Linked DNA regions of Drosophila melanogaster. The protein of the gene in region 1 purifies or fractionates together with the protein of each later gene. This does not show direct contact. Each region holds a gene or a part of one and is shown on either strand. Other genes may lie near its edges. The genes, in order: CG1492 and Nubpl.

Region 1 (14,913 bases):
CGAAACAAAAAACCGCCGCTTTCCGATGCGAAACTCCCAGCACGTCTGCTTGGAATGAAAGTTGGCTTATAACTGGTTTTAATGTCCCACAGAAGTTTGTAACGAACCACACTCCAAGCTGTATCAAGTATCAGTCTGCACCAAGCCGAATCCATCCGAACCAAGCCGAACTAACCCGAACCGAGCCGAGCCGAACCGAACCGAACCGACGCCATACGATCCCATGCGACACGAACTGCGCATGTGCAGCGACGACTCGCCAATGGAACCAACCATGGGATGAAAACAGGAGCTTTTACCATTTATAAGTTATTATTCCTATAAGGTCCTATATAGTTACAGAATTTTCTCCAGTACAATACTCCCGATATTTCCAAGGTTATACAGCTTTTGTTACCCATTTCAGTTGAACCACTTAATAAGCTGGCCAAAATGGAAAATACGCTCAGTAGCGCCCATTGTGCATGGTCACCAACATGAGGTTGATTGGTGGTAGGTTGTTTGCTTGGCTGACCGTTCGCCGCTTACACTTGACAAACAAAGACATTCTCAAAAGTTACTAGATTTTCGCAAAATAGTTAACACATTCTGGAACGGCAGAAAGTAAGCAGCTTGCAGATAACTTAGAAAACATTGTGGTTCTCCCACACTTTTCTTATCACTTCGATCCGAAAGCGAACTTTACAGTTATCCACTCAATCGGTTCTGAATCTAAAGTTATTTAATTGCACAAGTCTAGATGTAATTATATATGTAATATTTTATATATTATGCTTGCAACTTCTCTTTATTTTTGTAATTGTGCGCATTTTACAAGTGCTAACTAACATGTTTTGATGGAAGATCCTAATGCATATATTTTGGTTTTTATTGTGACTTTTTCTCGCAGTGTAGTAGCCTTATTTACCGCTCGACGAATGGCGGTTGCTTTTCGCTGGTCGCTTGGCTGTCTTTGCATTGTGGCGTCGTTGCCGACGCAACGCGAAACACAATATGCGCAATCGCAGAGCTTTACACAATTCGCTCGAGAGTCGATCCGATCCAAGCGTTCCATACGCTATATACTATACCTTCGCTGCCCCTTCAGCCCCCTCCACCGAGGCAGTTCATCCGATCCATCAAGGAAAACGCGCTTTTCCATATCCACCAGATGCTAGCCGCACCTTTCTTCAGGAATCTATCTATCTGTTGGAAAGAATCTTTTTAGAAAGTCCGTATTTGGATAGATTGATTGTTTAGAATTGTATATGGCGTATAAACTTATGATGCCAAAATGGCTAAGCTATAAAAAATTTTGGGTAAATTTCGCAATTAGCGGGGGCGAAAAGGCGCGTGACCAAAATCAGAAACAGTCTTTCTTTTGGCATCAAACAAGTTTTGCTAATTAATCTTGTGTCCCTTTTTGTTCTTAGAAATGTTGGCCTAATCATAAGTTTAATTATAAGTTTACTAACTCGAAAGCTCCATAAAATGGTTATTTTTAAACACAATTTAATATTCTATCACAAGAAAAGAATTATCTTAACTGAAAATCTTAGCTCCAGTAGTTATAATTTTTGGGAAAAGGGTATACAAACTTCGGCTTCCACGTTTTCAAAACTTCGCTGGCTAGTTGATTCCCAGCAAAGTAACCCAAGCCGAGTACACGTTAATGAAAGAAGTGCGACTTAAAACCCGTACTAAAACTGGATCATAATAGTAGCCGTATTCTGTTTTAATACCGATAATTGGCAATGCCCAACGTTCTAAGTCGCAAACTGTGGCAAATTGTACAAGTTAAAAAGGTGACGAACGGACTTTCGGATTTTATTTCTATAGTTGTCCTAATTCCAGGTTCAATATACCGCAATGACAAAGTGCTATTTTGGCAACAAAAAACGAAGCTCTGAAACTATAAAGAAAAATCTATAAACGAAACTGGCGATTATAGTTCAGCTAGCGGAAAAGGGAAGTCAAATTTCTCAGCTTTTTGTGGGAAGCGGAATTTTTGAAATCGCATATCTGTCAACGTAACATTTTCGATTCATTCTCAATCCAACATTGCGCATGATTAACAATTTATTATCATTATTCCGCAACATTTCGCAAAGTTGCATTGGTCCGTTGACCAGGCTTTGTCGTCATCTTCGACGTGAAAACAGTCCCCCTATTTTTTTTTCACCCATCTGACGTCAGTTTATGGTCTTTTGAGCCAGCAGCATTGCAATGCTTCAGTTGGCATATATTATTTAACATTTTTATGTAATGATATAACTAGATTAACTGCTAAATGCAAAGACAACTACAAAGCAATTCAGCGGTCTTGAAATCGAGGGCTAAACAAAAGAGTGGCCAACAAAACCTACCGTACTAACCATTTTAATCAACGTCTTAACGTCTTGCCAACTTGAATAAGAGCTTTTTATTGCTGAACCGTCCAAACCGAAAGCTTAGTATAATCAAGCTTGCGAATATCGGCTAATATATACGCAAATCCAGTTAAATGGCAAATTAGTGTTAGGTGAAATTTATCTACAAGTTACATTTCGAACACAGAACTAACGAAATACTTATGATCTATCTATGGTAAAATATTATACAAATTTAAATGTTGGCAAAACCTGGACATCTTAGGCTTGTTCTATAAACTAATAGATACTATAATTATATTATATTCATATATCTTATGAAATGCTATACATTTTATAACAAGCCAATTTTCTCAATGTTTAAATATATGGGTTCAAAAGTTTTCAGTTCATTATCAATGTAAATGGTGTGATAAAAAACGCAATTAGGCGATAATTTCATGATAATTTCATGAGCGTTATAAAATAACACAAGACCATAATTGCAGAAAATTTTTATATTTTCCAATTTTAAAGGGAGATACATATTCATATTAACACTAAATTCCACCTTCAAATGATTCTCCAAATATTCAAACCTCAGATGTAAGATATACTCATTAAATATTTTCACATATATTTAAATATTTATTAGTTTCTTCTGGGATCAGCTCTACCCCATCCACATTCCGCAGCAAACCGAAAATGTGGAAAAGCATCTGTTGCTTTTCCACACACTGAAAGTGGGCAATAGTTTTAACCTTGGCTAAAATGCCTTCTACAAGACCGCACTTTTCCCAACTCTCTCTCTCTCTAGCGATCTCAGCTTGGGTTTCGCTACCTCTCCGAGAGAGAGTGGGAGAGAGAGTAGGAGAGAGTGAGAGCGAGGTGTTGGGCAGTACCTGTGCGTTCAGGTATTTGAGGTGTAGCCATATGTGTACACACATACATGCATAGATGTGAGAGCATAAGTGGAAATGGCTCGCTTTAAAGCGCTCGATGAGAATTATTTTTAGTTTGTTTTCGCCTCTTGGTGCGTACAGTTGCACTCACGATCCGTCCAATCCGCTTATATTTTTATTTTTTATTATTTTTTTAGTTCAGCTTCAGTTCGATTTTGTTTTGATTTCAGTTCGTTTTTAGTTCAGTTTTTCTTTTTTTTTTTGTGAACGCTGCTTTCCCCGCCTTCGCTGTTCTCCATCGCAACGATTCCGAATCGGATTTTCGTTTTTCTGTTGGTACGACAAGTTTGCTCTTTATAAAGTTGTAAAGTTTTTTAGTCTGGCCCGCCCAACCGACGATCAAAAATGTTTTTTGTTGATTTCGATGTGTGTTATGTGTGTGCTTGTGTGTATATGTGTGTGTCCCTAAATAGATCGAAAGTAGTGGAGTTTGGCAATCAGAGGTTTATATATCGATTGTACAGCGGCAGAAATATCTTCGTATTTTCCCATTAAACGAACTCCGGTTCAGCGATCCGTAACTGTAGAACCCAGAAATTTTGAGAGTTCCAACAACCTGGCCAAGTAACGAAACCAGCAAATACCAATATCGTCGTTCTCTGGAATTTGTGAATAACTATCATTCCTCTCTCTCCCTCTCTCTCTCTCTGTCACGCTCTCGATGTCTGCATCTCCCTCTCGCCGATTGGGAGCATCATCAATGGGATGCCAACGACCCATTTAAAAACCGGAAAAATCTATGAAACCGGAAAAAAATGACTAATCTTAACGCACCGGTGCTTTGAATTAATAGAACTAGAAATTGTTTCAAAAACAGCTAAAATATAACAAAAACTAAATAATAATATATTGATAAGATTGCAATCTCAAAATATAAACATTTAGGATCTCATATTTACTTACGAAAATAGTTGCATATCCAGAGGCGTGGGAATTGTTATTGAAAACAACAAACCTTGAAGCATTACTTGATTATTTAAGAACTCATATTTCATATATGTAGCTGCAGTTTTGTTAACTAAACAAACATTTTTCTTGCAGCGAATGCAGCCGAGAGTACTATGCTCGTAGCACTTGGAGCGCTGCTTCCGCCTGGTTATCTCCTAGTTCCGGAATGTCCATCTAGCCAGGCGATTGGGAAGTCATGCCAGTGCAGCAAGTGCGTCCCGTGAGCACCTACGACAACTTGGGCGTCTCTCAGTCCAGGCAGCTGACGGCCGGAATGGCTGGCGAACCGGAAACGGAAGTCGAAGTGGAGCTCAATGGCAGCCACACCAGCCATAGCATAGCCGCTGTGAAGGCGGCTCTGAACGATGCCAAGTCCAAGTTCTTCGGCATCAACAACTATGAGTCACCCATGGCCAGTAAGAGTGCAGCAGTGACGACGATTGCCAAACCGGAGCCAAGATATCAAAATGTTCCGCAACGCGACGAACTGCCGGCAGTGGCTGCTCCCGATCCTCCAGCGCAACCAGCACAGCCGACGGCTCCAGTTAGCGATCATAGTAGGGCACTGCGCTATGCGACCACCTACGAACAGATTCCACTCAGCGACATGGAAGCACCGCAGGCATCGCAGGTAATTGACGCCATCTAAGCAATCGCAAAGTCCAAATCAAATGTCCAACTCTTATCCCAAAAAAGGCCGTCTACATGAGCACCACAGTGCCGCAGAACATGAAGGGCATGAAGATCGCCGGACGACATACGCCAACTCGCAACAGCCTCAGGCACAGCCGCATGATCGTTGTCAATCACAAAAACCACGACAGTAAGTACACCAGCTGTCTAGCGAAGCTATATGATGGAGTGTGTGGGTGTCACACAGTCATTGTTGATTTGGCAAAGAACAAACACATTTCGATTTCAATTACTCAAAGTTTGGCTATATGTACAGGTCTCCAGGCCACCAGGAATCTGAATATATCTCGCCAGCTTCTGGTTATGCAATTAGCTGTGGGCCTGTTCATCGTGGGTCTTGCCGTTTGGATACTAATCCTAGCCCCCAATGCGTCCATATTGATCAATCCGTATCTGAGTGGATTGTCGGTAAGATGAATGTGTGGAATGGTTGGATTAGTATGTATAATAAGAATGAACTTACCTCTCGCTCAGCTGCTATTGGCCAGCATTGCGGGGCTCATACTGCTGCGAAGGGATCACAAGATCACGGAGCACAGACCGCAGACCAATAGTTGCTACAAGGTCCTGCTGGCCGAGTCGTATGTGTTCACTGGCCTGGCGTTGATCTTCTGCTGCTTGGCCCTCGTCTGTGCGGCAATTGAGTTCGCGGAGCTCATCTCATCCGCAGACGGAGAATGTGGACCAACATCGAGCTCATTGCTTAGCTATCACAATTGCACCTGCTTGGCGGCAGGTGAGGTGGTGGCCAACTACTCCTCCGAGGCTCCAATGGCATTTGCAGTTGGTCAGGAGGAGGCGTCACAGTAAGTTTCGAACTGCAGTTATACTTAAACATTGGCATTGAGAATATTCTCATTTCTAGAAACGATGGTTGTGCCGAGCTTCGGATCGAATGGAAGTATCTGCTCGCCTTCTCCATGGCGCTCAACACTTTGGGCATTGTTGCAACATTCTTATACATAACGTTATTTATTTGTTGCCACCGCAAGCGAGAACACTTTTACACGTCTGTGTAGGGATATATTGTAACTTAAATTCAACATACTACTTAAATTATTTTTAGCAACTGATACAAATTACAAATAAATTATTTTTTATATCTAAGTACCATTAAAGTAACACAACGTTTAAAAACAAATACTGTTTGCTTTCGTGCGATAGCATCTAAAAAAAAACTAAATACTAACTTATTGAAAAATAATTTGTTAATTCATTCATATTTGAGCAATTAACGTGTTTGAATAAGTTTCTGCTGGAAAACATAATTAATACTTTGTGTAAATACTATATGTTTGGTATAGTTTGTGAAAAGAATTCGACTTTTTTAAAATCCACTAACTCCACCTGGCTTCCGAAAATCCGAGTTCACCCAGATGGTGTCGTTAGCTTGAGCGATTCCACAGATGACGGAACCGCGGTTCTCATAACGCTCGCATCGATGTCCCCTCTCCGCCAAGCTATCCACATAGCTCTGCCGTAGTCCATACTCGTAGAGCAGAACATTGGGCAGCATTTGATGATGGATGCGGCTGGCATCGATGGCGGCCTTGATGCTTGCCTCCTGCCACAGGATGCGCACGAGGAGGGGAGAGAGGGCAGAGATTATTTTGGTACCGCCAGCGGCACCCACAACCAAGCGAACGTTGCCAGTGGCGCGTTCCGTGACAATCACTGGACACATGGAGGACATGGGACGGGCGGCAGGAGCTACACCATTCGTGCCAGGCACGAAGGGCAGATCGAAGTAGTTCTTGAGCTGTTCGATGGAGAAATCCGACATGGCATTGTTAAAGATGACACCTGTGCGCCTGCCAGTTCGTCCACTGCCAAAACTGCAAAATGAAATGGGATATATATATATATATAGGAATATATATAAATAAGATTCTTAATATATAATTACTAGAAATTGATGGAGCTTGTCACTGAAACTGCATCGTTTCCATGGAGCACTGAAGTGTGCGCTGTGCCGTGCTCATCACGTATTTGAATTCCAGGTGAAGCTCCATAGAACTCTGGTCGGTTAAAGGTGTGTGTGTGGTTAATTTGCCTGGCCACGGATTTTGCCAATTCATGACTGGTCAAATTCGACAAAAGCTGTAGGATAAATCAACGAATATAAAGGGTATATTATTAATCAATTTCACACGAATTCGAAAGAGATGGAAATATGCTCACCTCTTCGCTCGCGGATTCATCCAGTTGCCATCGCTTGACGAATCCAAACTTCATTGCCTCGACCATCAAATGGATTTGACGTGGGCTCATAGTTCCGGCTCTTGAGAATTCCGCCCGGAACTCCTTTAGTATGTTCATTATGAAGCCGAGAACGTGACCACTTCCAGGTGGAGGAGTCAAATGGAGATCATACTCATCCAGTGGCATCACAATGGCGCTACTCAATTTGGCGTGCGCTTGGTTGAGGTCTTCCTTAGTTATTGCACTGCCCGCGTCCTTCAAGTCGGCCAGCAGATCATCGGCGATAGATCCGCGGTAGAAACTGAGTGGTCCCTCGTTGGCCAACCGATCGTAGGTGTTGCACAATTGAGCCGCAGGGCGAATGAGATGACCCAATGGCCAGAAGCGCCCGGTGTCGGGATCGATGAACATCCGGCGTAGGCCGGAATCGGCCCTGATCATGTCCTGATTGAGTATGAGCGCATCATACTGGTGCTTATACAATCGATAGCCACGACGACACAATTCCAAAGTTGGCAGCACCAAATCCTTCCACTTTAGCCGCCCGAATCTCTGGTGGGCCACCGCATAACCGGCCAATTCAGCTGGCACGGCAATGGACCATCCGGATCTCTTGAAATCCTGCTCATCGCGAAATGACGAGAAGTTATCCGCACGCAATGCCAGCGGCGCCATTTCCCTGGCCAGAATGCTGTAGGATTTGTTCTCCTTGGCCACATAAACATTCATCACCATGCCGCCACCGATGCCCATGCTCTGCATCCCGATGAGTCCGTTGCAAATGAGAGCAGCCAAGGCGCCATCCACAGCACTTCCTCCATTCTCCAGGACTTTTTTGGCCAATTGGCTGCACACATCGCTGTCGGAGCAAATGGCCGCCCGGGAGAATCGATGGAGCGGCGAATTGGAGGGCGGCAGTGGATCCTCCGGATTTGGCGGTCTCCTGGACGCCTTCTTTTTGCCAGCTAGAACAGAAATGTGAATTAATTGTGGGCAAGGAGCTGCTTCCTGGTCGTTGTACCCACCATTTCCGTCCGGATACCGGTAGATATAGACTGCCACCAGGATGACAATCACCACGGATATCAAACTATTCAATCCTATCCTAATGTACATCGCTAGCACCTAGATTTACATTGTTCTCAACCCCATTGCCGCACCATTGCAGTTCAAATGGAAATATCCATATCCTTTTCATTTCAAAAAACAGCTGTTCTCTGCTGTTTTCTAGTGGTCATACTGCCGTCGATAGGCCAAAATAATCGAATATACTAAAATTTTGAAAAAACTCGACCGCCTTACGTTCAATATACCAAGCCGAATTTCGCGCGTTTTAATTTAAAATGTGTGCCCCTTGTTATCGAGTGTCAGCGTATGCGCGTTGCCAGACAGCTGGCAACTCCAATGAGTGTAGAAGGTGGCAGCCCTTTAAGGCACCAGCTGACCCCATAGAGCGTTTTTGTTGTTCTATCTTTTATCTTTTCTTTTACCGTTTTGTTTAGTAATTATCTTGCTTAATTTAACCGTAGTTAATTGTGATTTGCTAATTGCTTATCTTCAGTAAGTAACCACAGGTTGCAAGGTGATGCACAGACGCTGCAAATCTGTCTAATTTGCACAATTATTATAACCTTGACATAGAACAGGGGGCAATAACATTATCGATGAAAACAACAACAAAAAACCGTTTCACCAAGCGCTGTTTACTTCTTACATTGCGTTGCCAATCTTTTTGAATGTAACGGTAGTTCGGCAACAATATGTTTTCAATCCAAAAATCTATTTACGTATATAAATATAAGCAAACATATAACATAACATATATAACATTTATAACATATATCGTATTTTTTATGCTTTAAAGTTAAGTTCAGACTTATCCAAAAGCAAAACGCCCCAAAATCGCACAAAAATCGCGCAAAAATGAACCAAAGCGAAACGGTAAAATATATTTTATTCAGACGCGTTTTGGACGCGACTTTACGCGTTCGGCGCGTTTTTCGTGCGGTTTGAAGGCGTTTTTTGGCTTGGGATTGTAATATAAAGAACAGAACCATTTAAAATAACTTCTTTAGATACATATTATCAATAGAAGCTAAATAATCTATATTCCCATTTAAAATCATACCTCTAGCAACAGTCCAACACAACGAAAAGTAATAATTAGCTTCCAACAGCTGTTTTAAAATTACAAACAAAATGAACATTCAAGTGCTTAGCATTTGGATTACGATTTATTTAGATTTATTGCTCACGACCCTAGCGAATTTGGTTGGTAAAAGGTCGCGCTTTCCTTATCAATAATGCCCATAAATCTTACAGCAATTAATTAAATAACAATTCGGTAAATAAAGTACCGCTGAAAATAGAAAAACACCAGTCAGGGGGCAAACCTGTATGCCAACCGTCTGCCGATAAGCAATCCATCTCTTGGACCGTTCAGATTCGGACTTGAATTTGGATTCTGTCCAGTCATGGTTCCCAGTACCATGCCCATGCCCATGCCCAATTCCAAACCATACCATACCCATACCATGGTCTGGGTGCAAAGGGCAGCGGGAGATGCGCCATAAATAACTTGGCACTGTGGAGGTCACTTGGGCAGCTGATACCATGGACCACTAGATGCCGCGCCATGCCACCGCATGCACCATGTACTTGGAGATCCATCCTTTGGCACTTTGGCACAGTGGCTCAGATGCGATTTATCGCCGCCGAGCTGCAACTTATCTCTCGTCCAGCGGAAGCATAGAAATGCGCTCAAGAAATGAGAAACATTGAGAAAGTTTCAAGTTTAAAATTTAAATTTAAATTTATCGCCACTCGCCCACTCCTGTGCATTTATTATTGTAGAAATTAACCCCATAACTTTTACTAAATCTGCTCAGCTTAAGTTTCAGTTTTATGATTAGTTAAAGTCAGGTGAAAAGTTAAGTTTAGCCAGCTGAAAATTGAAGTTGATTAGTTAGTTTAATCTTAATGTTGCACTTAAAAACACACAGGTTAAATTTGGTTTGAAAATTTCATTTTTCATTATTACTAAGATACTTTTATAAATTTAGGGAGCCTAATTATTCTGAAAATCATTTCCTAACATTTAGGCTTCAGTTTCTGTTTTCTGTTCAAAAAGTGTTCAAACTTTGAGCTGCTTAAACTCGAAAACTTCTCATTACGCTTTTCAAAACTGTAATGCTGCACTTTCGCAATCTGTTTTGGAATATTTTTTTTTTTGCAATTTGCCATCGGGTTAATTTGCCCGTTGGCGACTTCTGTTGCTCTGTTATCAGGCCGGGCTATCCAGCCCTCCAATTCTCCGCTTATCAGTGGGCGAAGGAGGAGGAGGTGAAGGTGGAGGCGGAGTAGAGGAGGTGGAGGTGGAGGAGGTTTTGGCGAGATTGTGTGTCACGCCCGTGCCAGCTGGGGTATATAAGAATTGGGCCGGATCGGGTGGCATTCAGTTTGAACGCGCTACTCAACGGAGCCGTGTCCAAGGATTCTCGATTCTCTATTCTCGATTCCCCATCTCTCAGCTCAAGCTTAAGCTATCTCCAAGGTAGGTGCTCTCCTGCAAGCGTTCCCCGTTTTTTTTTTTCAAGTGTGTTAAAGTGATGCGAAAAAGAAGGCATAGTTTATACTGAAGACTTTTTCGAAAAAACGGAAGCATTATTAAAATTAAATAGAAATTTATGAGCTTGCACAAATTAAATTTAAATTTGGTAAAAAATATAGCTCGAATATTTTCCTTCTATTAAATGTGCTATTCAAAAACTTTTTCCCTTTTTTTTTAAATTTTTTTTTTTTTTTTGTATTAAAAAAATTTCGAAATGAGAGACTTCAGCACGGATTAAGTACTCAATTATTTTCACATGCTCCACACATCTGAGCAGCTACTTGTGAATTTGGCATTTTCGAACGCTCTTGCCCCACTGTGCCCTCTACATGTGTCCGATAACAGAAGTGCCTGCCAGTGAGCATCTCTTTAAGGTCTCCACTTGACCAATTCAATAACAGCAGCCGAATGACAACAAAAGTCAATTAAAAATCGCTAAATGCCAGGCGCAATCAAACTTAAAAGTTAATCGCAGCATCTGTTGTTGTTGTTGTTGTTGCTTTTGCTTTTGTTGAGTATGTGAGTGTAAGTGAAGGGCATGACGTCACAAGAGCACAGCTGCAACGCACAGTGGAACCATTGCTCGATAAAGCTAACGAAAAATTGTAGCTTTGCATACAGAAAAAAACATGTTAATTGTATGTATTTAAATTGGAAATACTTTTTACTAAATTGATTAAAAATATAAAACCGGAAAGTGGCATATGTTACAATCGAAAAAAAAAAACTCCATTGTGCTCCACCGTCGGCCTTTGGAAAAATTGAACTTAAAACATGGAAATGGAAGTAAATAAATAATCTCGCATTGTGTTCCGCTTGCGATGATGACGATGCCGCCGATTCTCAGCCAGTAATGTCAAGCCCCTGGTCTGGAGGTAATAAAAGCAACTCCGAGCGATGGCTTTGGGCTCAGTTTGGATTCGGAGCCAACGAGCGCAAGATGATGTTACTGATTCCCGTGATTGCAGTGTGCCTTTTCGGCCTAACGGTACTGCGTCTATAAGTAGGACCAACTAAAGAAATTGAAGAAAAAAAGTGTTACGAAAGTCAAGTGTTTGAAACTCTACAAAAAATCGCATATTTAAATGAATATTTAAATTAAATTAAATGATTAATTTAATTGCTCATTGCTCGCATATAAATTATCCTGATAATTCTATTTTATCGCAATGTTGACAGTTTGAATTATTAGTTTTTCGCTTTTGTGCGTAATTTTCTGATTTAATCCTACATCTAAATTCGAATTCTCTGTACTTCTTAATTGTTTAATTCAATTTAAAATCTAATTAAAATGGCAACCATGATAATGATAACCATGAAGTGCTATAATGCATTCCAAATGCCACTTTATATCCACTATAAATCCATATAAAATCAATTAGATGCACTAATCGCAAATCGGTTGTTCCCAATTTCGCCAACAGATGTCGTACAAGGTGGAACCATTGCCCGATTCCTACGCCGGCCTGGGCGAGGGTCCCCATTGGGATGTGGCCAGGCAGAGCCTGTACTACGTGGATTTGGAGGCAGGCAGCCTGCTCCGCTACGACTATGCGCAGAACAAGGTCTACAAGACAAAGATCGAGGGCGAAACCTTGGCCGGATTCGTGCTGCCGGTGGAGGGACGTCCGCAGGAATTCGCCGTCGGCTGCGGTCGACGCGTGGTGATCGTCAACTGGGATGGCGTCTCGCCCAGCGCCAAGGTGGTGCGCACACTGTTCGAGGTGCAGCCACTGATGGAGAAGAATCGTTTGAACGACGCCAAGGTTGATCCCCGTGGTCGCTTCTTTGGCGGCACCATGCGCTACATTGGCGATGAGTTCGAGTTCCGTCACGGCGAGCTGTACCGCTGGGAGGCCGGTGGCCAGGTGTCGGTGATCAAGGGCGATGTGGGCATCTCCAATGGACTGGCATGGGACGAGAAGGCCAAGAAGTTCTACTACATCGATACCACCGACTACGAGGTGAAGTCGTATGACTATGATTTCGAGACCGGCGTGGCTAGCAATCCCAAGGTTATATTCAATCTGCGCAAGAATAGTCCCAAGGATCATCTGCTGCCCGATGGCCTGACCATCGATACCGAGGGCAACCTGTATGTGGCCACCTTCAATGGCGCCACCATCTACAAGGTTAATCCCAAGTGAGTAGTTCACTCTAACATTCGTGATCGAGTGTTAAATGTCGTACTTCATTGCAGCACTGGCAAGATTCTGCTTGAGATCAAGTTCCCAACCAAACAGATTACCTCCGCCGCCTTCGGTGGCCCCAACTTGGACATCCTGTACGTGACCACTGCCGCCAAGTTCGATCAGCCCGCTCCAGCTGGCACCACCTACAAGGTGACCGGACTGAACGCCACCGGCTATCCCGGCGTCAACCTGAAGGTCTAGGAGCTGCAATCTCTATCTATCCTTAGCCGCAGTAAAATGTACCAATCGAATCCAAGTGCAATTATATGTTATGCTCTTTAACGTTTTAAATCGCGTCTATCAATGTTTTGCATGCTAGTTAGGTTATCCTTTTTTGCAGTTCTAGTTCAAGGTCAGCTTAAGGATCACATTCTCTCCTGGGAATATCCAGGATCATCATGTAAACTCACAAAGAGGTTGACTATGCTCTACTTTACTCTGATTTCAAACAACAATCTTATCAGCCGCAGACACACGGTAATCATCCGCGGATCTTATGGTCATTTGGAGGACGCAGTGCTCTTATGCTTCTTTATTAATCAGTGGTTCTATAAACAATTTTATACTTATCGTCTAGTCTAAAATTAAAGATAGCAAGGTGGCGTAAAAAATCAGTCGATGTTTTGGTGAATGGAGATCATCCACTCAATTTCGGTGTAGATAAACATCTGCATGACCGTCTATTCATCAGACTCCGATTCCGATTCGGACTCTTCTTCATCGTCATCATCGTCGTCGTCATCGTCGTCGTCGCTGCCGGCGGAGCGATTTAGCCGCAGCATCTCCTGGAACTGGTGTACACGGATCTTTTGCGGCACGATCTGCAGCAGAAACTCCAGATTCTTGTTCTTATTGACCACCTGGGAGAGATGCTCGTACTTGAGCGCTTCGCCCGGTCGCTGGCCGAATTCCTCCGTGTATGCCGCGCCCGCCAAATGGCGAACGAATAGCTCCGTGCACTTGGTCATCAGGAAGAGCACCTCGTTGGTGATCAAGCCCGTGTCCATGGAGCTCTTCATGATCGTTCGCACGCGGCTGAGGGGCAGAAAGGTTTCCGCGGTCGGTGGACGCTCCACGGGTGGTTGGCTCCTTGGTTCGCCCATTTGTTTACTTAATTCCCAAGCAAACTATGGCTTGGGAATTTTTTTGGTTTTAGAGCTGGGCTCACAAGTGGAGCTGTGAAACTATCGATGTTACAATCGAGGCATGAAATTCGTACCTTTCTGAGACACTATCGATTCTTTTTTTTTATTTGCTATCGATGGTTATGGTTTATGAAGACTTAAAATAAGTAACCGCAGGGCTTCCCTTAAAACGAACAATGCTGGCATACTTCTATTTTTGCAAGGAATTGGATGTGCACAATAATATATGTGTTACTTTCTCAGAATTAAGTTATAGCGCTAAATATATAAAAATTGAGAAACCCATTCGGATTTGCCTATACTTTCAGCTCTAGCTGGAGCGGGAATTTAACCAAATAACGTTGCGCCGATATGCTATCGGTAGCCACAACAAGTATTTAATAAAAGTTTTCCAAATATTTCAATTTATTAGTGGAAAAACCGCTCTAAGCAAATACCTTTAACTTAATCAAGAGATTAGGGGTAAAACGATTAGGATCTGCACGATTTATAAGGAAACATTCAATTGCAACAACATTTAGACAAGTCAATATTATCTACTTTTGTCTTTTCAGTATGCAATCAACTTTGGATTTTCACACTTATAGCTTAAAAATCTGTCTTCATTTTCGAACTCACATATAAATAAATATCAATAAATTATTATTGCACTTGATTTGTTTGCAGCAACGTTGCCAGACTTCCGTAATCGATGACTATCGAACCTATCGCTGCGCGGCATGTGCAACACTGCGTTTTCTGCTGCCCCCTTTTGGCTGTTGTTTCGTGTGTTGACCAATAAATTTTTCGCGTACTTTTCCAACTTTTCAATTACCGAACCGCAATTGCCGCCAA
Region 2 (17,577 bases), on another chromosome or scaffold:
TTTTAAAGTTTTTTAAATTTGTTTGTTAAAATTTGTTATGTTTAATTCTAATTTGTCTCTCATCTGACAATTTTTTAAAAGCGAAATATTTTTTTTTAAACACTTTTAATGTTAATGTTACATCCTTTTAAGTCAAATGACTTAATAAATATACTTATTAATAGGAAGTACAATAGAAATTATTATAACTACTGTAATTTCATAAATTTCATAAAAATATGATAACTAGAATTATTCTAGTGTCTTTGCTTTGTTCATATCTTGAGGCACGAAGTGCGGACACAAGCACTCAACAATCATTGCCTTATTAATTTTTCACACGCCTCAAGATGAATACTCTAATGACAAATATTCTTGAAATTTATTTTTGTGATAATATGTACATAGATTTGGCTATTTCTATTCTATTCTATCAAATAATAATAACGTTAAGGCAATGCAAAACAAGAATTTTTCGCATGGTACTAATTGATCAAAAATAATATAGATTTAAAGTCAAAGAACTTTGAAGGTGAAGGGCATATTTTGTCAAATTTACAATGCATGAGCATACGTGTGCACACATACAGTTGTCTGCTATCACTTTATGTGTGATTCGCTGTAGCGCTCTCAGCTCTCTCGCTCTCTAACAAAAATTCGAGAGAGCCTGGAGCCATCTATAGAGCCACGGCGAAAAAATCGTGGCGAAAAACGTTTAGACCGAGGTAAACTTATATTTTCTAAAGTATACATTTTTTCAAAATTCCAAAGAATGGGCAAACGTGGACAAACGATGTTATTGCGATTTAAAAAAAATGTTTGAAAAAAGTAAAATTTTTGATTTTTGAAAATTTTTAAACTCTTTCGAAAATTTATATCTTAAAACCTGGACGTGGGCAAAAAAAAAAACTTATTGGTGGGCAAACATGGGCAAAAAATGGGCAAACGATTCCAGCTTTTAAATTTCAAAAATTCGATTTTTCCGAACCCATCTTCTTTGAGCTGAAGAGTTTAAATCATTTTGACTTAAAAACAACAAGGACTGAGTGTAAGGTATAAATCAGCAAGCTTTATATAAATTAATAAATTAGTAAAGTACTTACTTTTGTAAAACTAGTTGAAAAACAAGTTCTTCGAAAATAGGCTTGTATTCTAATAACCAAAGCACGTTATACAGATACCCTGCCGTCACATGGTACGGCTTTTTGAAATAGGGGAATTTGGCGGATATGGCATCTATGATAATATCGAAAGCCATTGGCACGGCAGTTAAGATGCGATCCAGTACTTTATGGATGGGTTTCAACTCATTTCGCACGTGCTCCGAAGGGCATCCGTGGACCCAATCGGATTCATCCATATCTCCAGGAATCCAGTGGACAATTAGTTTAGAGACTCCAATCGGTAAATATCTATTATGGGTCACCATTAGTTCGATACAAAATTCAGTATAAGCTTCGATTATCTCTGAACTTCTTTTCTTCCAGTTAAGGGACAGTAACGCCTCGACAACGGTTACAAATTCTGGAGTCAAATTATGAACAATTCGTTTAGCATCTTTTATGATTATTACAACCTCATCATCCTTAAAAAAAGAAATCAAACGTAAAGAATAACCAACAATTATGTTAATTTAACTTACGCTGAGTTCTGCTTCCCGGAGGAAGTATGTGAACTCCTTGACCAGATGGAAATTTCGTTCTTCTAGGGCAACGCGCACTGATTCTGCGAGCCCCTTCTCTTTGGGTGTGGAAAATCGAACTTTGTTGATGGCCACGGCATTTGCCTGATTTCGTTTTACGCCAGAAAACGTCTTTAAAATGGAAGTCACATCCGTCTTACTCGTGTAGAAGGACATATTAAATTAATAATAGCTTTATTTCTGTTTGAACTTAATGTTCGAAAGGATAATCCACACTGACGTAAAATGCATACAAATAAGTTCTAGATAATAAATTATTTTTGAAAGAGAATTTCATTTTTATTTTTAAAGCACAAATCGTAAGAATTTTACTTGGAAATATGCACGTTGTTTTGAGTTCCAATAATCAGTGTGGCCATAGAATTTCGAAAAATTATACCGCACACCCTCCATAAATACACGTTCTTTACTTTTGCTTTTTAACGTGCTCATTGAGCAAAATTTAATGTTAGTCTAAATTAAAAAACTCGTTTTATTTAACTAATATACTAACCCTCAAATTCTTTTTTCCAAGCCAAAGATAATAAATAGCTTTTTTTTTAAATTTTCATCACCTAGACGCATAGTTATTTCTAATCGGGACAGATTGACAGAGAAATTGCTATTTTTGCTTAATTTTGTATTAAAAAGCGTTCTGTCCTTGATGGTGGAAGAATATTTGACATCCCAGTTTAACCATTTTAAGGGGCTAACGCTACAGTCAATATAATAGACGTTTTAAATTTTCCGAAACATCGATATTTATTGTAGACTATGGATGCTATTAGGATCATCGCTATTCGAATAACAAGAAGAAGACCTAGAACGCTAAAGGTATGCCGAAGAAATACAAAATCAAATACAAAATGTACATATATAAAAAGATATCCTTAAAATGCAACTGTTTGAACAGCTCTCACTGATTTTTAATTTTCTAATATAACCAGTTATACCAGTTTAAATCTAATTGATTTTATATTGTAATTTTATTATACGTTTTATATTTAATTTATTCTACATATTAAATTAAATGAATTTAATAATATTTAAATCTTTTTTCTTATATTTCAAGTGTAAATGATAATATTAATTTTATTTTAGAGAACATCGGAAAACTTCGATGTTACATCCACGATTTTTGTGAAAAACATCGATGTTTCGCGCTGAAACTACTACAATCTTTGAAATTAGATTCCAGAAAAAAAAAAAACAATTTATCCTATGACGATGAATTATGCGGATCTCGCCTATATAGATTCATATATTTCTTATTAAACTATTTCATTACGCTAAGAAATGAACAGTGTGGCATGTACATATATGCTGTTAAATATTTATATGAGTGGCTTTTATAAAATTAATTATTAATTATTATTCGGTTTTTTTTTTACGATTTTTTCGATATGTAAAGCGGACACACGAAATGAAAAGTAAATGCCTTTTTTCATATTAAAACAGAACTTATTTACTCAAGAGAAGAAATAGTTTACTCAGTGGTCTATTGATGCTTATTGCACATCATAACAAGATCATTCTGCCACTAATTTATTTAATAAAATTTTTATTGCTGACGCCACTTCAGATTTGACTAACAAAATTTTGATGTCGGCAACAAAAGTTTGGATTTGTCAAGGGGTCAAACATTGTTGGTGAAACGAAACAGGCATATAAAATATATAGAAGGAATTCATTAATTTATTTAAAGGAGAGCCAATAGTGTTGTTTGTAAATAATTCTATTTGATTTAATTACTTAAGTGGTCAAAGTGCCACAAAAAAGAAATTGCGGACATCGTAATTAAAACTATGAAATATGTGGCAGCTATGTTGTCTGGAACAGCTTAAACAGCTGTTTACCGCTGAATGCATATTGCGATATCCAAACTATAGAACAAATTTTCCAAAAGCAGAGCACCTAAAAAAGAAATCAAAAGATTTTGGCTAAATCGAATTCGAAAAAAATTACGATTATCAGATCATGAATGACTTTTCTTAAAAGGGAGCAAATTAATACTGAGTAAGTCCCACGGTAGTAAAGACTTAGGCAGAACGGTTCCTGAAAATTAAAATTATTAAATGGGGCAGGACTTTATCTTCCTTAAGGTTATATGTATCTTCAAAATTGTATCAACAAATTCGCTTAAATCACAAATTATTCCCATAGCGCATATTAACGTCTTGGAGTTGAACACTTCTCTCAGCGATTATTTGTATCTAGACATTTGTATGTAGTGCAATTTTATATATAATGTTTTTATATAATGTAAATATATGTATTACATAAATATTGCATTAAATCCTTATTAATACCAAATATTCAGACTTGGGACTATTTTGCTTCTCTTAAAAGATTAAGCTTATTGTGTAACTTAGTGTGGACGGTACATAATATTTAGTTTCTAAACTCTTAATTGCTATCAGTGGCAACGCTATTCAAGTAGCCATCTTTCTTTCTTTTCTCAACTATACGACCGCGTGGACGTAAGTTCAACGAGTTTTGTTGAATATTTCTTCATTATGACTTGAAAAAGATCTAATAAGCCTCTTTTTTATAGGGGATTATAAATAAAAATGACCAACTCAAAGGGCTATCGTCGCGGCACACGGGACATGTTTTCCCGTCCCTTCCGAAAGCATGGAGTTATTCCGTTGTCCACATACATGCGGGTTTTCAAGATCGGCGACATCGTTGACATTAAGGGACATGGTGCTGTACAGAAGGGTTTGCCCTATAAGGCATATCATGGCAAAACCGGGCGCATATTCAATGTGACTCAGCACGCCGTTGGTGTAATAGTAAACAAACGCGTAAGAGGCAAAATCCTTGCTAAGCGGGTCAATGTGCGCATTGAGCACATCCACCACTCCAAGTGCCGCGAAGATTTTTTGCGCCGCGTAAAGGAAAATGAGCGATTGCTGAAGGAGGCGAAGGAAAAGGGACAATGGGTCAGTCTGAAGCGCCAGCCGGAACAGCCGAAGAAGGCGCACTTTGTTAAGAAACTTGAAGAACCGATTGCTCTGGCCCCGATTCCATACGAATTCATTGCCTAAAGGCATTTTACTGCTCGGAAATTGTACGGAATGAAATAATATTTGATATAATTTCAGTAAACAAAAAAAATGTGCCCAATATAAACAGACTTTGTAATTTTCATTTTGCAATAAGGTCGGCGTCCAACTAAAGTTTTGATCAGCGACAACGTCTGCTTATTATTGAAAGGTTTTTATGTTCAAAGTCATTTGATACTAATTACCTACCATTTTGAGTAAAATGTTCTCGACTTGTTTATTTATAAACATTTATTCACTCAAACCACAGTAGCTCACAGATTGTTTCTCGCAGTTGCGAAATTGCTGCTAGACTAAGAAAGATAAAATCAAATCCGTCCTCAAGGCTACGGCGAATATTTGATTACATTTATGTCTGCGGACAGTGCTGGAGTAATATATACGTGAGGGCATTTCCAGACGAGCCAAGTCTTGACAATTGCTGCTGTGGTTTGGCCTTTTCTACATTTTGCATCAGGCTTGTGGCCTTTCAGTGCCACATACGCCAACCATATCGTGATCTCCGTCATGCTCTCCCATAGGTTGTTTTGAAGCTCTGAAGTTGATCGACATCCATCAAAACTAAAATTGTTTAATTTGTGTGCGTTAGCAAAAACAACGTCGTCTCAGATCGGAATTGAAAGATCAGCTGTATTTAATTGGTTTATGAAAGAATTTTTTCGTAATACTCCACCATTAAAATGTATCTGGACTACTTTCGTCCTCGATCCTGGTGTTAATTTTGGAGCTGATAGCTTTAGGTTTTCCAAGCCTCTCGTGGTCGTTGATGTACGGATACGGCCCAAACGGACCGTGCAATATATTAGCAGCTGGGTTGGGCTTACAAATTTCTGCAATAAGCCGCAGAGAGATGGCATTTCGTTGAAATGTAATCAAGCTCGGAAACTCAGTATATATGTATTAGTATTACAAATGTATTAAATGGACAATTTATTAAATATAAATATACTACACAGAAAAGATGCAGCATTGAAATAGCACATTATTTGGTTTTTATACACGTATACACGTTACTCGTAGAGTAAAAGGGTATCCTCGAGTCGTTAAAAAGTATGTAACAGGGGGCCAACCCAGCCCTAATCGGTACCATGGGATGAGCATCGCTCATGCGAGGTAGGCCCCCTTCTGGGAGTTTCATGGTGGCTGTGGTTGCTTAAGCTAGAAGGATCTCCTTCACCAAAGGGGGTGTGTTACCCGACAAGTGTGCAACCGAATTGGTACCTCTGAGTTTACTCGGGGGGTATATGAGTGAAAGAGTGAACGCTGTTGTCGAGTTTCTTTCTTCTTTGTGGAATACCACTTAAGAATAAACTTGAGTAGTCTAGTAATAATGATATTAATTTATCTTGGTCTGGTCCACGTAAATCAGTATCGACACTAGCGAAATCAAATTTACATTCAGAAATCAAACAGGTGAAAAGGACTTTTCACTAAATATATTTAGAGCGTTAAATGTTATTGTAACTCCCATATCTTGGCTCAATATTTTTCGTCCAATTAAGATATCTTAACTTAATCACCTAAAACTACATGGAATAAAATTTCAAATGTGTGTTCGGTTAAGGTAACATTTGCCAATATCTGAGTAGTACTACAAACGTACTGTTTCCAATGCCTCACAATACAACTACATTGATATATAATAATATAAATATTAAAAATATATAATAATATAATTCAAAAAAAATTTTTTCAATGATTTCAAAGAATTGGTATACAAAATTATTGTTATTAAAAAACCCAATGCCCATATGAAAAATCACATCGATGTCATGTTACTGGCAGTAATACCAGCTTGAATAACTCACTCGCTTTAGCGCGATCGAGGACGACGGCGACTTTTTTGAGTACGTTCCCTGCATTACTTATCGAGCGTCGGTTGGCTGAGAGGAATCTAAATATTGTCATCGATACCGCGGTGTCGGCAAAAAAAAAAGAAAAGAGAGATGGAGTGGAATTGTTGCGTTGGAAGCTCTTGGAGTTCAATAAGATACGACTGGATTTAAAGGGAGAAAGACAGTTTTTTAGGTTGCGGGATTTGCGGGTCAGCTGAGCTGAATAACTGTACAGCGACGAATGTATTTCATATGCTAGAGACATAAATATGACAGTACCAAAAAAATATGAGTTTTCATAAAAGCACTAAGGAGCATTTGAAATGTTAAAAATAGCGTTAATCAAAGGAAAAGTTCTAAAGCTTTACGATCACTTGAGACAGAGATTTATACAGATGTATGTAAGTTTGGATTAAAAGCAGTTATGCTTTAGAGAGATTTCGGGGATAAGTTGTGACATGTAAGTTTTGCGTTGACCGACATGTGAAAGGCTCAATGTAGTGAACGACGTTCTGAATGAAGATCCCAACAAAGAGCTCATAGGTAATAAAGGTGAGAATTCTAAGCTCGGAAGGAGGTTCAACAAATTCGAAAAGTACCAAAGTTAACTGTTTTAAATATGCCTACTTTGGATATTTAAGTAATTCAAGACTGTTTGATGTCTATGTAAGATAATGAGAGAAATGAGATGAGAAAAAATGCGATCAGAAAATACAAACGATATGGTCAGTAAGAGTAGAAGAAGGCATGTTTAGTACACGCACACAAACAGAAAAATAAAAACAAATGCATATAGTTGTTACGTCTGCGTATTAGTGCCCTCGCATTCAAAAAGGACTTGGGCCTATCCATCCTATGTTCAGCATCTTGGTACGGCTCTTACCTCTCCAACATTACGATTAACGAATATTAAAAGTTTCTGAAAAATATTTGTGTTAGTATCGTTCGTCATTCATCAGTCTTTAAGCTTAGCTGTTAGCGGATCGCAAATCGACCGCATTCAGAAGATTCACCGCAAAGACAACATGTTGCACTATATGGACGACATCCTCGCTTGGAGCAACTCTTTCGATGAGATGACTGGCAAAGTTTCAGTGGTTTTAAGCGCATTAAGCGAATGTGGTTTAACGTTAAACATCGACAAATGCGAATTTTATAATGAAACTCTCCTGTCTTAGCCCAGGAGAAGTAAAGACAAATGATGTAGTCGAATTTCCGAAACCAGAATTTGTTCCGAAAAAATGTCAACTTCTAATGGCAGCAGCAGCAGGAAGACTCATTAAACGAATTAAAACAGAAGCTCAGTTGTAAACCGATTCTTGTAATCTACCGCGTAGACGCGGAGCACGAACTTCATACAGACGCTAGTTCGATCGACCTGCAGCGAGATAACGACAAGCTGTTACCAATCGCATACTTCAGCCGGTCAACAACGAAGGTCGTAAGGAAAATGCACAGCTACGAACTAGAAGCTCTCGCCGTTGTAGAGGCGCTGGAAAGGTTTACATATTATGTGTATAGCAAGCGTATTAAAGTCATTAATGATTGCAGCGCATTACGTACAACATTGAGAAAACGCGAACTCATCCCAAGAACAGCCCGGTGGTGGCTACTCATCCAGGACATGTTCCACAGGAACATGTGGACGTGCTTAGTCGATCTCCATATGAACCAGCGCACGAATTGAACAACGCCGACTTAAAAATATCCAAGACCATAATCGACGAAGGAGACTGGCTATTTAGCATTCAATTTTAAGATGAGAAGATACGGAATATTGTCAAAGCGAGACTATACTACGATGCCAAACATAATCCTCCGACTATGTATAAAAAAGATTATCTCATCTTAGTGGAGAATGAGCCTGCCGCAACTGGAACGGTAAAAACGAACGATCGATATGTCATCGAAGGACTCTACGCCATTATAAGTCCGTCTACTCATCCGATAAGCTCAAACCGTGGTGTCGCCTTCCGGACGACGACGTCCAGCGAGGACGTTAATTTAAATCAGGAAGGGCCGACTGTAAGAAGATAAATACTTATTAATGTTAATGTTATTGTTAAACCTTAACGACAAGTCCAATACGATACTTATTACTTATGCTAACCGTATTGATAAGTTCAATGCCCCATGCGGGGCAACGTATATAATGATTCGAGCAATACGTGTGTTTCTTTCGAATAAACTAAGCCATCCCATGCAAGCCATCCTATAACGGAATCGCCAATTTATTTAAAAAAAAGTTTCGAATCAATGACAACGCTTACACTTTGATGAGTCTATAAAAGTGTGGGATTTAATGTGTTCCGCTTGAGATCTCGGGTCCGACTGCTCATCAATATGATTGATCTCATACGCTCTCTTGTGACTGACGATCACTTCGCGACCTTTGGCCTACTTGTCTTCTGGCTTGTTTCGGCCCTCCTGGCTGGATGTTCGTCCCGAACCCCTTCATGAACTCAGAGGATCTTTTCCAAAAAAAAACTTTCCCTTTAACTTTATACAAACTCCATACTGAGTACGTGTGTGGTCGATCACTTCCACTGTGTTGATCACATTGGCTTTTTTATATCTTATATCCTTTTGCCTGCCCAGTATCTCTTCCGTCCGGTCTTTGTACTGGATTGTAACGACGATGTCCTCTCTCGGGGCTCTTGATCAAGATCGCCATTTTTCCTTTTGTACCGGAGACTCTATAGGGTCTCCTTAAAAAAATTCAAATTATTATCGAGGTGCTGGATTCGGAATAAAGGGTAAGCGAGTGCGGGGCAAATTCAGGTTAGATACCTCTAAAACATAATTTAAATATAATTTGGACGCAGTGCCGGAATATTAACCCCTAGATCAACTGGGTCTTGCAAGAGAACAAAGTCGAAGCCGTTTGGATCACCAATAGAAAATAGAAGGACGGCGGCTGTTTTTGTGGGACCCCAGGACAGGGCCTTGAGGCCCGGGAAAGTGAAAATCATAAATTTAAATGAAATTACGGAAAACTGGCATGCATGATAAAAATCTTTAGGCCAAATTTTCGACCGCGAAGAGATTCCGTAACTAGGCAGCGATCTCGGTCCGGTCCGAAATAATGAATTAATTTGAGTTAGTGTTTTTTTATATGTGTAAGTGTAAGTGAGAGCGAGACGCCGCATTTGGTTTAGAGTGTAGTGCAGCCCAAAATTGAAGGACATCAATTAAATATTTCGTACATTAGTAAATGAAATTATAATAAAAAAAGAGAGAATACTATAGTCGAGTTCCCCGACTATCAGATACCCGTTACTCAGCAAGTGTGAGCGAACGCTCTCTTGGATCGCGATTGATATTGGGGAATAAAATGAGAACAAATTTAAAAATTGTTCCAATAAAATTAAGAAAAAGGTCGAAAAATGGTTCAAAAATTTGGGCGTGGCAGTTTTGCGCGGTTTGTGGGCGTGGCAACATGGATCAACAAACTAGCTCTGCGTCTTCGTCTCTAGAATCTCTCTAGAGGAATTTATTCCCAAAGCTAAGGTCTTGCATTGATTCTGATCCTTTCAGATATTGCTTAGCAATATTTGATTCAAGTTGAGCCCCATTTAAACGAGCAAAGTGAGAATAGAAATATTAAGAAAACTAAAAGCATGACCTCGTGTAACGTGGGATCCAGCACATTTACCACGGATGGGATTCTGAAGACAATAATTCGTTGAGTGCCTAAAAATGTGACATTTCAGACTGTAAAACTCTTTTCTGCGGCGCGCACGCTCCATAGTGACTCGATGTCTGCCTAGTTGAGTTATTTTCAGTACTTTGTCGACATTCGATCCTTGTTTTAGGTTTACGAAAAACAAGTATTGCCTTGTCTGTAGTTGATTGTCGCTTCGTTGTCTTCTTCAGAGCAGAGATCGGTTCGTTTTGGCAATCCGCTTTTCTCGGGCAATATATTTAATGATAATAATAATAAATAATAATTTAATGAATATAAAAATGAAACCCGGAATCACAATTCAGTATAGGTTGTCATCCTTAAGTTGATGATGCCAAAACTGACAATTTACCATTGATAAATGGATGGATAAAAAGCATTAGAAATGGCTGTGTATATCCAAATTTAGAGGTGCGAATACTATAGTAATTCTCACAAGCGCACGAATTCAGAGCCTGTTTGAAAGCGTGGAGATGGTTAATATCCGGGACACGTTTTGCTATAGGAGGGCATATTTAAACATGAAGATTGTATCTGTCACAGACAAGATGAGCAATCTAGATTAAAGAAGCCAGAAGAGGATTTCAGCTAGTTGGCGTTACATTTTTGAAACTACCAGCAAAAATCAATCCACAAAAAGCAGAACTAGTTTGAAACCTTCTCTTAGTCTTAGCTGTGAAGCATGACATGGTTTTGTGGTGTGTTGTTTAATGTAAATGCGGGAAACGAAACAACAGTCCCTTTCCCCTGATAACTTTATTGGTTTTAGCGGTACAGCATAACAAATGTAAGTAATAAGAATTTTTGATATACACAAATTTTTTTTAATGTGCACTGTTATTTTGATTTTGATTACATCTTTGTTCGTTAAGTATTTGTGTAATCTCCTCAGCCAATTGGGTAAATAGATAAGAGTACTTGCTGTCCGGATATTTTATTACAACAGGCACTCCACTCTCGTTGCTATCCGCTATTCGTGAGTCTAACGGAAGAGAAATTAGCTTGCGCGGTAGAGAACTTATACGGCTGTCTTTAAAAAACTCCAATCGTTGATTACAGTTCTGACAAATGGTGTACTTCATGTTCTCTACTACGCCAAAGATAGGAACATTTAACTTTTCGTACATGCTTGCACCTTTCAAGGTCACCTGAACAGCTGCAGTATGAGGTGTTGTTACCAGGATAACCCCTGTGATAGGTGCATGCTGGGATAGTGAGAGATGTACATCTCCAGTGCCCGGTGGAGTATCTATAACTAGGACATCTAGAAGCCCCCAATCAGTACCTTTTAGCAGTCGTTGTATTGCTGACATTACAAGAGGACCTCGCCAGATAACAGAGGTCTCTACAGGTGTCAGCATGCCCATAGACAAGCACTTTACATTGTAGTTTTGCGGCGGGATCATCAAATTCTTATCGTTCACAACCGGCTCACCATGGACATTCATGAGAAGTGGAATAGTAGGCCCGAAGATATCCCCGTCCAGCAATCCTACTCGCTTTCCTAGTTTTGCCAAGCTGCAGGCAAAATTAACTGTGAAAAGGACTCCAATAACCCATGAATCGAAATATGTGAGTACACACCTGCCACGGTGCTTTTTCCAACACCACCCTTTCCAGAGGCAACGACTATAATATCTTGTACTCCAATAATCGGTTGCTTTTTAGGCAATCCCCGCGCCATTAACTTCACCTGGGACCCAGTTAATTTTGTTGCGTAGGAGCGCCATATCGTGTTGATCAATAGACGCTCCATTGTTACAAAACGATAAATTTATTTTCCATCCTAAAAATAAAACTCATAGTGAAAACAGCGACGACAGCTTTATAGCCGATTCTCACACATTTCCATCATTCCTATTTTGCGAAGTCATTTTTCGATAATTCTCGATAGCTCAATTAATATTCCTAGGTATTTAGCATTTTTCTTTGGCGACTGAAGCGACCGATTGAGCAGATTAAAAAACTGGGAAAGCGAGTATTTTTACTGGACGGTATATATTTATTAATACTATTATAACCCATCTAATGAATGTCTATAGCGAGCAGTTTGTTTACGATAGGAATACCACGTTAGACCACGTTTACCACGTAATTCAAATAAACCAGTCAAAACTCAACAGTGGAACAACAGTAGTAACAGCAGTACAAGAATACTCGTAAAACGGTTTACTCTGTGAAAAGTCTCTGCCTGCCGCTGACATTTAAACTGTCACATTTTTCGGCGAACCTCGCCAAGCTTGGATGAAGAACATGTTGAGGCAAGTGGTGGAGAAGTGGTGTGGCAATTTATAAACACGCTAAAGTTAATTTTTCAAGTAATATTTCAGTTTTTTTTAGGGTCTATTTAGGGTATATCGAACGGCGGCCCGTACCGAACCGATTGAGTTAAAGTGTATCATAGCAATACCGGTGCGATCAACACTTAATTGTTAACTGAATGCAGAAGCCAAATGAGCAAGTTTCACAGAATAAAAATTAAAACCAGGTTAGCGCCCCCTGAGCAAAAATATTTGACGTGAGATATTTGGAAAACGGCTTGAGCGAGAGCTTTGGAAATTTTTTTCCCTTAAAAGTTTAACAATTCTATAAATAAAAAGTTTATATAGAATGCAGTTTGTTGTTTATAGATTTTTATTTCAATAAAAAAGAAAAACAATCCATAAATGGGTAAGTCAAAATTGCGTCATCAGTGTATAAGAGTTTGGCTGCATAACCAAACATCCTCCCCCCGTTGGTGGACTCTAGCTGACAACATCATCCTGTTTGGGTAGAACGCAAAGTTTAGCGACGGCTCTATTGAACAGCAACTCGTGCGACGCCATTGAGTCCAGGGATCAGATTTATTACTCGAGCTAGTGGCCATTTGAGGGGTGGCAGGTTTTCGTCTTTTACTAAAAGGACATTATCGATTTGAACGTCTGTCTTCTGTGCTCGCCATTTGGAACGTTGCTGAAGAAGCGTTAGATATTAACTGGTAGTAAGTGATTCGCTGCCAGCGATCCAATCGGTTGAGATTTAATTTTGTGAAATCAGGCTCAGCAAACAAGGCGAGGGGGGCAGTGCCTAAGAAGTGCACTGGCGTTAGTACTTCAAGGTCGTCAGGATGTTTTAAAAGAGGAACTAAGGGTCTTGAATAAATTGTTGCCATTGCGGCAACTATGGGTTAAAAGCCGCAAATTTTGGTATAAATGTAATTTTTTTTGTGACTGATATTTTAATGCTGCTTTCATTTTTGGATTCCTAATTTGCCCTTTTTTACGAAACATTTTATGTTGTAGGTGTGTATGAGTTTAGTCATGAAGTGCAGCTGAGTGTTTGGAGCAACAACGATGCAGACGCTGTTAACAGTTATATTTAGAAGAGAACTTTGTGCCTAAAGAGCAAAATATTACAATTTTAAGGAAAGTGAACCAATTTAGTTCTTATGTGAACAAGCACTTAAGGAAATTCAAACGAAATCATTAATTGTGGCTTCCGTCTAAAATTGTTGTCGTTATTCATAGCCAGAAATTACACTATGCAAAGCTGGTCGAAAACAGTTAACATTTGAATATGCAGAGCCTCAACCTAAAAAAATTAGCAAATTAGTACTTCTCGTACATGCTGCTTCAATTCCGAAAAAAAAAACGAAGCAGGCAGAAACGGCCTTTGTATTAAAAAAAAAGGATAGGTAGTGAAACATACATGTAGTAATTTTACTTTATAGTGTTACTTTATTGTTTAATGACAATTGTTTATAGTACACTTTATATTGTTTAATGACAATAGTTCTTGCTTATTATTATTTTATTTATAATAATAGTTGTATAAGTATATAGCGCGATTGAAAAACTTGCTCGTTCACCATTCTACTCGAAGTCCCTCCTTTTTGGTTTTTTCGTTAATAAGCGTTGCCACTGCGCGTTACTCTCTTGCTCTGTCTTTCATCGTTCATTTTAGTTCCCTGATCTTGTTCATTTCCCACAATCGGCCCTCCTGATACATCATTCGACCCGAATGAATTTCCCCACGGCTTCGTATATTCTGCGACTGTCGATGTCCTAAAAGGTCCATCGCCTTCTCCAAGTTTTTCTACGTCATACCTTGCGTGCTTGTTTATCTTAACAACTTTATAAGGTCCTAGAAATTTTCCTTTCAACTTTAACCCAGTTCCACCTGTTGTAATCACTAGATGCTGAATTTTCTGCTCCTCACAATACAACTTAAATGCCTGTGCAGTGAACGCAGTCAGAGATAATCCGTAAAGGATTTCCAAAATTAGTAGCCTGACGCTCTAGACAACTTACAACTTCCTCTGCTCCTGTGCTACGGGTGGGATACAACCATACAAATTTAGAAAAACCGTCAACTATAGCTAAAATGTGGTTGTAGCGCTTGCTCGTCATCTCCATTGGCCCAACATGGTCAATGTGATACGTCATCAACGGTCTATCTCCCTTTTCAATCGGGGTCAAGAAACCTTCTTTCTTCCCAGCTTTCGAATTAAATACAATACACTCCACACAACTGTCCACAACACGAGCAACCGTTTCTTTAAGTTTTGGTATGAAGTAAGATTTCTCAACTAAATCTTGCGTTTTCTTCGCAGCAAAATGTCCTTGCTTATGAGCAATCATGATTATTTCATTTTCCATCTGCGACGGTACAACAATAAGTTCGCGATTAGGATCTTTAAAAAGCATTTGGGTTTCTATATAAAAATCTTCATACCCTTTATTTTCTACAAGGCTTCTCACTACTTTCGTCCGTTCATCGAGTAATTGTGCTTGTTTCAAGCGATGTACAACAGTATCGCTCAGCATAAAACATGGTACTCTACTCAACGCATCAACATGTCTCATTCTCGTCCCTTAGCGATGTTCTATTTGATAATCAAAGTCTTGAAGGTATAATGCTAGCTATCCTCAAAGGAACGTCCTTCTTCTTCATCGTCATAGTGAACGCGTTGCAGTCTGTCACAATCTTAAATTTCAAACCTAACACATACACACGCCACTTCATTAATGCACCGATAACTGCAAGAACCTCAAGCTCATAAGAATGATACTTTTCTTCGCATTGGTTAATCTTACGACTCATGTATTGAACCGGATGAAACAAACAATCTTCTGGGTCTTTTTGTAATAATACAACACCGAAACCATATTTTGAAGCGCCTGTATGGATTTCCGTTTCTAATTTAGGATTGTACAATTTCAATACGGGACGGGAAGTTAATGCTACTGTCAACTGTTCAAACGCTACCTTCTGCAGCACATCAAATTTAAACTTAGTATTTTGCCTTAACAGGTCCGACAAAGGCTTAGCAGTCACTGCAAAGTCTTTGACAAATCTACGAAAATACGACGTCAATCCTAAGAATCTTTGAACACCTTTTTTATCATTTGGCAACGGAAAATTAACGATAGGACTTCTCTTCTCTCCAGAAGGCTTAATAGTACCACACTCAACTATATACCCCAAAAAGTTAACTTCTTTTGCAACACCTGACATTTCGACCAATTTATTTTTAATCCATTTTCACTGGCAACACTTAACACCTTCTCCAGCTTTACCAATCCTTCACACACATTTTTACTGGGCACAATCACATCGTTCATGTATACTACTACATCTCCACTGTTGATTAGTTCCCTTAAGACTGCCATTATGAATCGAGTAAAGGTGAGTTTGTAATACCAAAGGGCACATACAGAAATTCGTACTGTCCCTTTTGTGTTACAAAGGAGGTATATTTCTGGGATTAAATCCAAAGTCGTATACACCAAAGCACTCTGAAACTTTTCGATAACAACGTCAACCTGCGGCATTGGAAAGTGATCACGAATTATCTTTTAATTTAATTTCCGATAGTCACAACACAATCGTTTTTTTCCATTCTTTTTCGAAACAAGCACCACTGGTGATGCGTATTCCGACACACTCGGCTTTATAATTTTGTCACACAACCATTCCTGAACTTGATCATCCACAATCTTTTGTTCACACTCTGCCAAACGTCTTGGTTGTTGGATTACTGGTAAATCATCGGTTAACAGTATTTTCACCTTCACTGGAGTCGAACAATTTCGAATTGGCTTATAATCTCCAATTAGACTTAAAGCTTTTTCTTTTTGCACACTACTCATATCAACCTCATTAAATATGTCAGCCTGCTCCGCACCCAACATGCACATACTTTTGAATTCAACAAACAACTCAGCACATGATCCTTTGCCCAATGGCTGGATTCTCTGACTCTCAACCTTTTTTGGGTTTACAACTCGACTTATAAACTCTGTGCCACCTTTGGTTACTTTCATATCCATGCTGTTTACGATTTTTCTTCCTACAATCGAATCAAAACCCATATCCTCATCAGGAACTCCGTGAAATTCAACTTGCATGTCTATACCATCTACCTCAACCGAAATTACAAAGCTACCGAATGTAAGCACCTGGCTATCACCTATGCCAGTCAAACATTTCGCTAAGCCTGTCAACTTATTTCTGCCCAACTTAGTATAAACACTTCTGCCTATAAAACAAAGGTCAGCACATGTATTAACTAATCCTTGAAACATCATTGACTTATACTGCACAGTTTTCAACTCCAAACCTGAAGGAGTGAAAATGCTTAATAGCTTTAACTCTTCCTTCCTATCTTGTACAACATTTGTATTTTGATCCTGTTTAACTTTTCCATCTATTTTACACTCTGATGCGCGATGTCCTGGTTGGATACACTTAAAACAAACAACATCTTTCTCCCTTTCTTCTTTTAGCAAATGGGTATCATCATCGCACTTGAAACATTTACGTGTCTTGTTGTCACTGCTAATCTTCTTGGACTCAGAACTCTGTTTATCAACGAATGATCCAGGCCTGTTTGATGACTTGCTTGAACTACAAACTTTTTTGTAAACATCCAAACACAACGAATTGTACATTATTTGTGAGCTATGGCTTCGATGGATCTACGGACCAAAGCGCGTACAAACAACGCTTTCTATCAAACGAATGTATCGCCCTAGATCAATTTCTTTTACCGTTAAAACCAAAGACACTAGAATTCTAGTGTTATTCTAGTGTCTTTGGTTAAAACTAATAGATGAAATCAACAGTTATTTGGATAAATTCATCTCCACAATCGGTGAGATTGTCGGCCTTTGAACATTGATTTTAAAAGGAAGGAAAATCTCACGCTATGAAATTTAGACGACTAGCAAACATTACAGATGTTTTCAGATTCATGGATTCATCTGATCCTTTGCTTTAAAGTCTTTGTTTAAGAGATCGAAGTAAGTTTGGAAAAAAGAAACTCCTCCCAAAAGAAGTATTCGATAT

What was found.
Region 2: the proteins of CG1492 (region 1) and Nubpl purify together in Drosophila melanogaster (affinity purification with mass spectrometry, with the first as the bait; one large-scale study listed by BioGRID). This does not show direct contact.

Annotation. Positions count from the first base shown.
Region 1 is NC_004354.4:12,003,837-12,018,749, forward strand, and holds CG1492 (uncharacterized protein), read right to left. Parts: upstream 8,376-14,913; 5' UTR 8,249-8,375; coding exon 8,158-8,248; intron 8,098-8,157; coding exon 7,112-8,097; intron 7,031-7,111; coding exon 6,837-7,030; intron 6,766-6,836; coding exon 6,258-6,765; 3' UTR 5,950-6,257; downstream 1-5,949. Other genes in the region: CG1806 (uncharacterized protein), read left to right, coding at 4,434-4,868, 4,934-5,060, 5,187-5,338, 5,405-5,736, 5,796-5,949; regucalcin, read left to right, coding at 11,683-11,730, 12,167-12,885, 12,943-13,135; Chrac-16 (chromatin accessibility complex 16kD protein), read right to left, coding at 13,615-14,037.
Region 2 is NT_033779.5:22,234,359-22,251,935, reverse strand, and holds Nubpl (NUBP iron-sulfur cluster assembly factor, mitochondrial), read right to left. Parts: upstream 12,021-17,577; 5' UTR 12,005-12,020; coding exon 11,833-12,004; intron 11,783-11,832; coding exon 11,073-11,782; 3' UTR 4,948-11,072; downstream 1-4,947. Other genes in the region: Tif-IA, read right to left, coding at 1,083-1,564, 1,622-1,837; RpL21 (ribosomal protein L21), read left to right, coding at 4,231-4,710. UniProt on the Drosophila melanogaster protein: Iron-sulfur cluster transfer protein involved in the assembly of the mitochondrial membrane respiratory chain NADH dehydrogenase (Complex I). May deliver one or more Fe-S clusters to complex I subunits.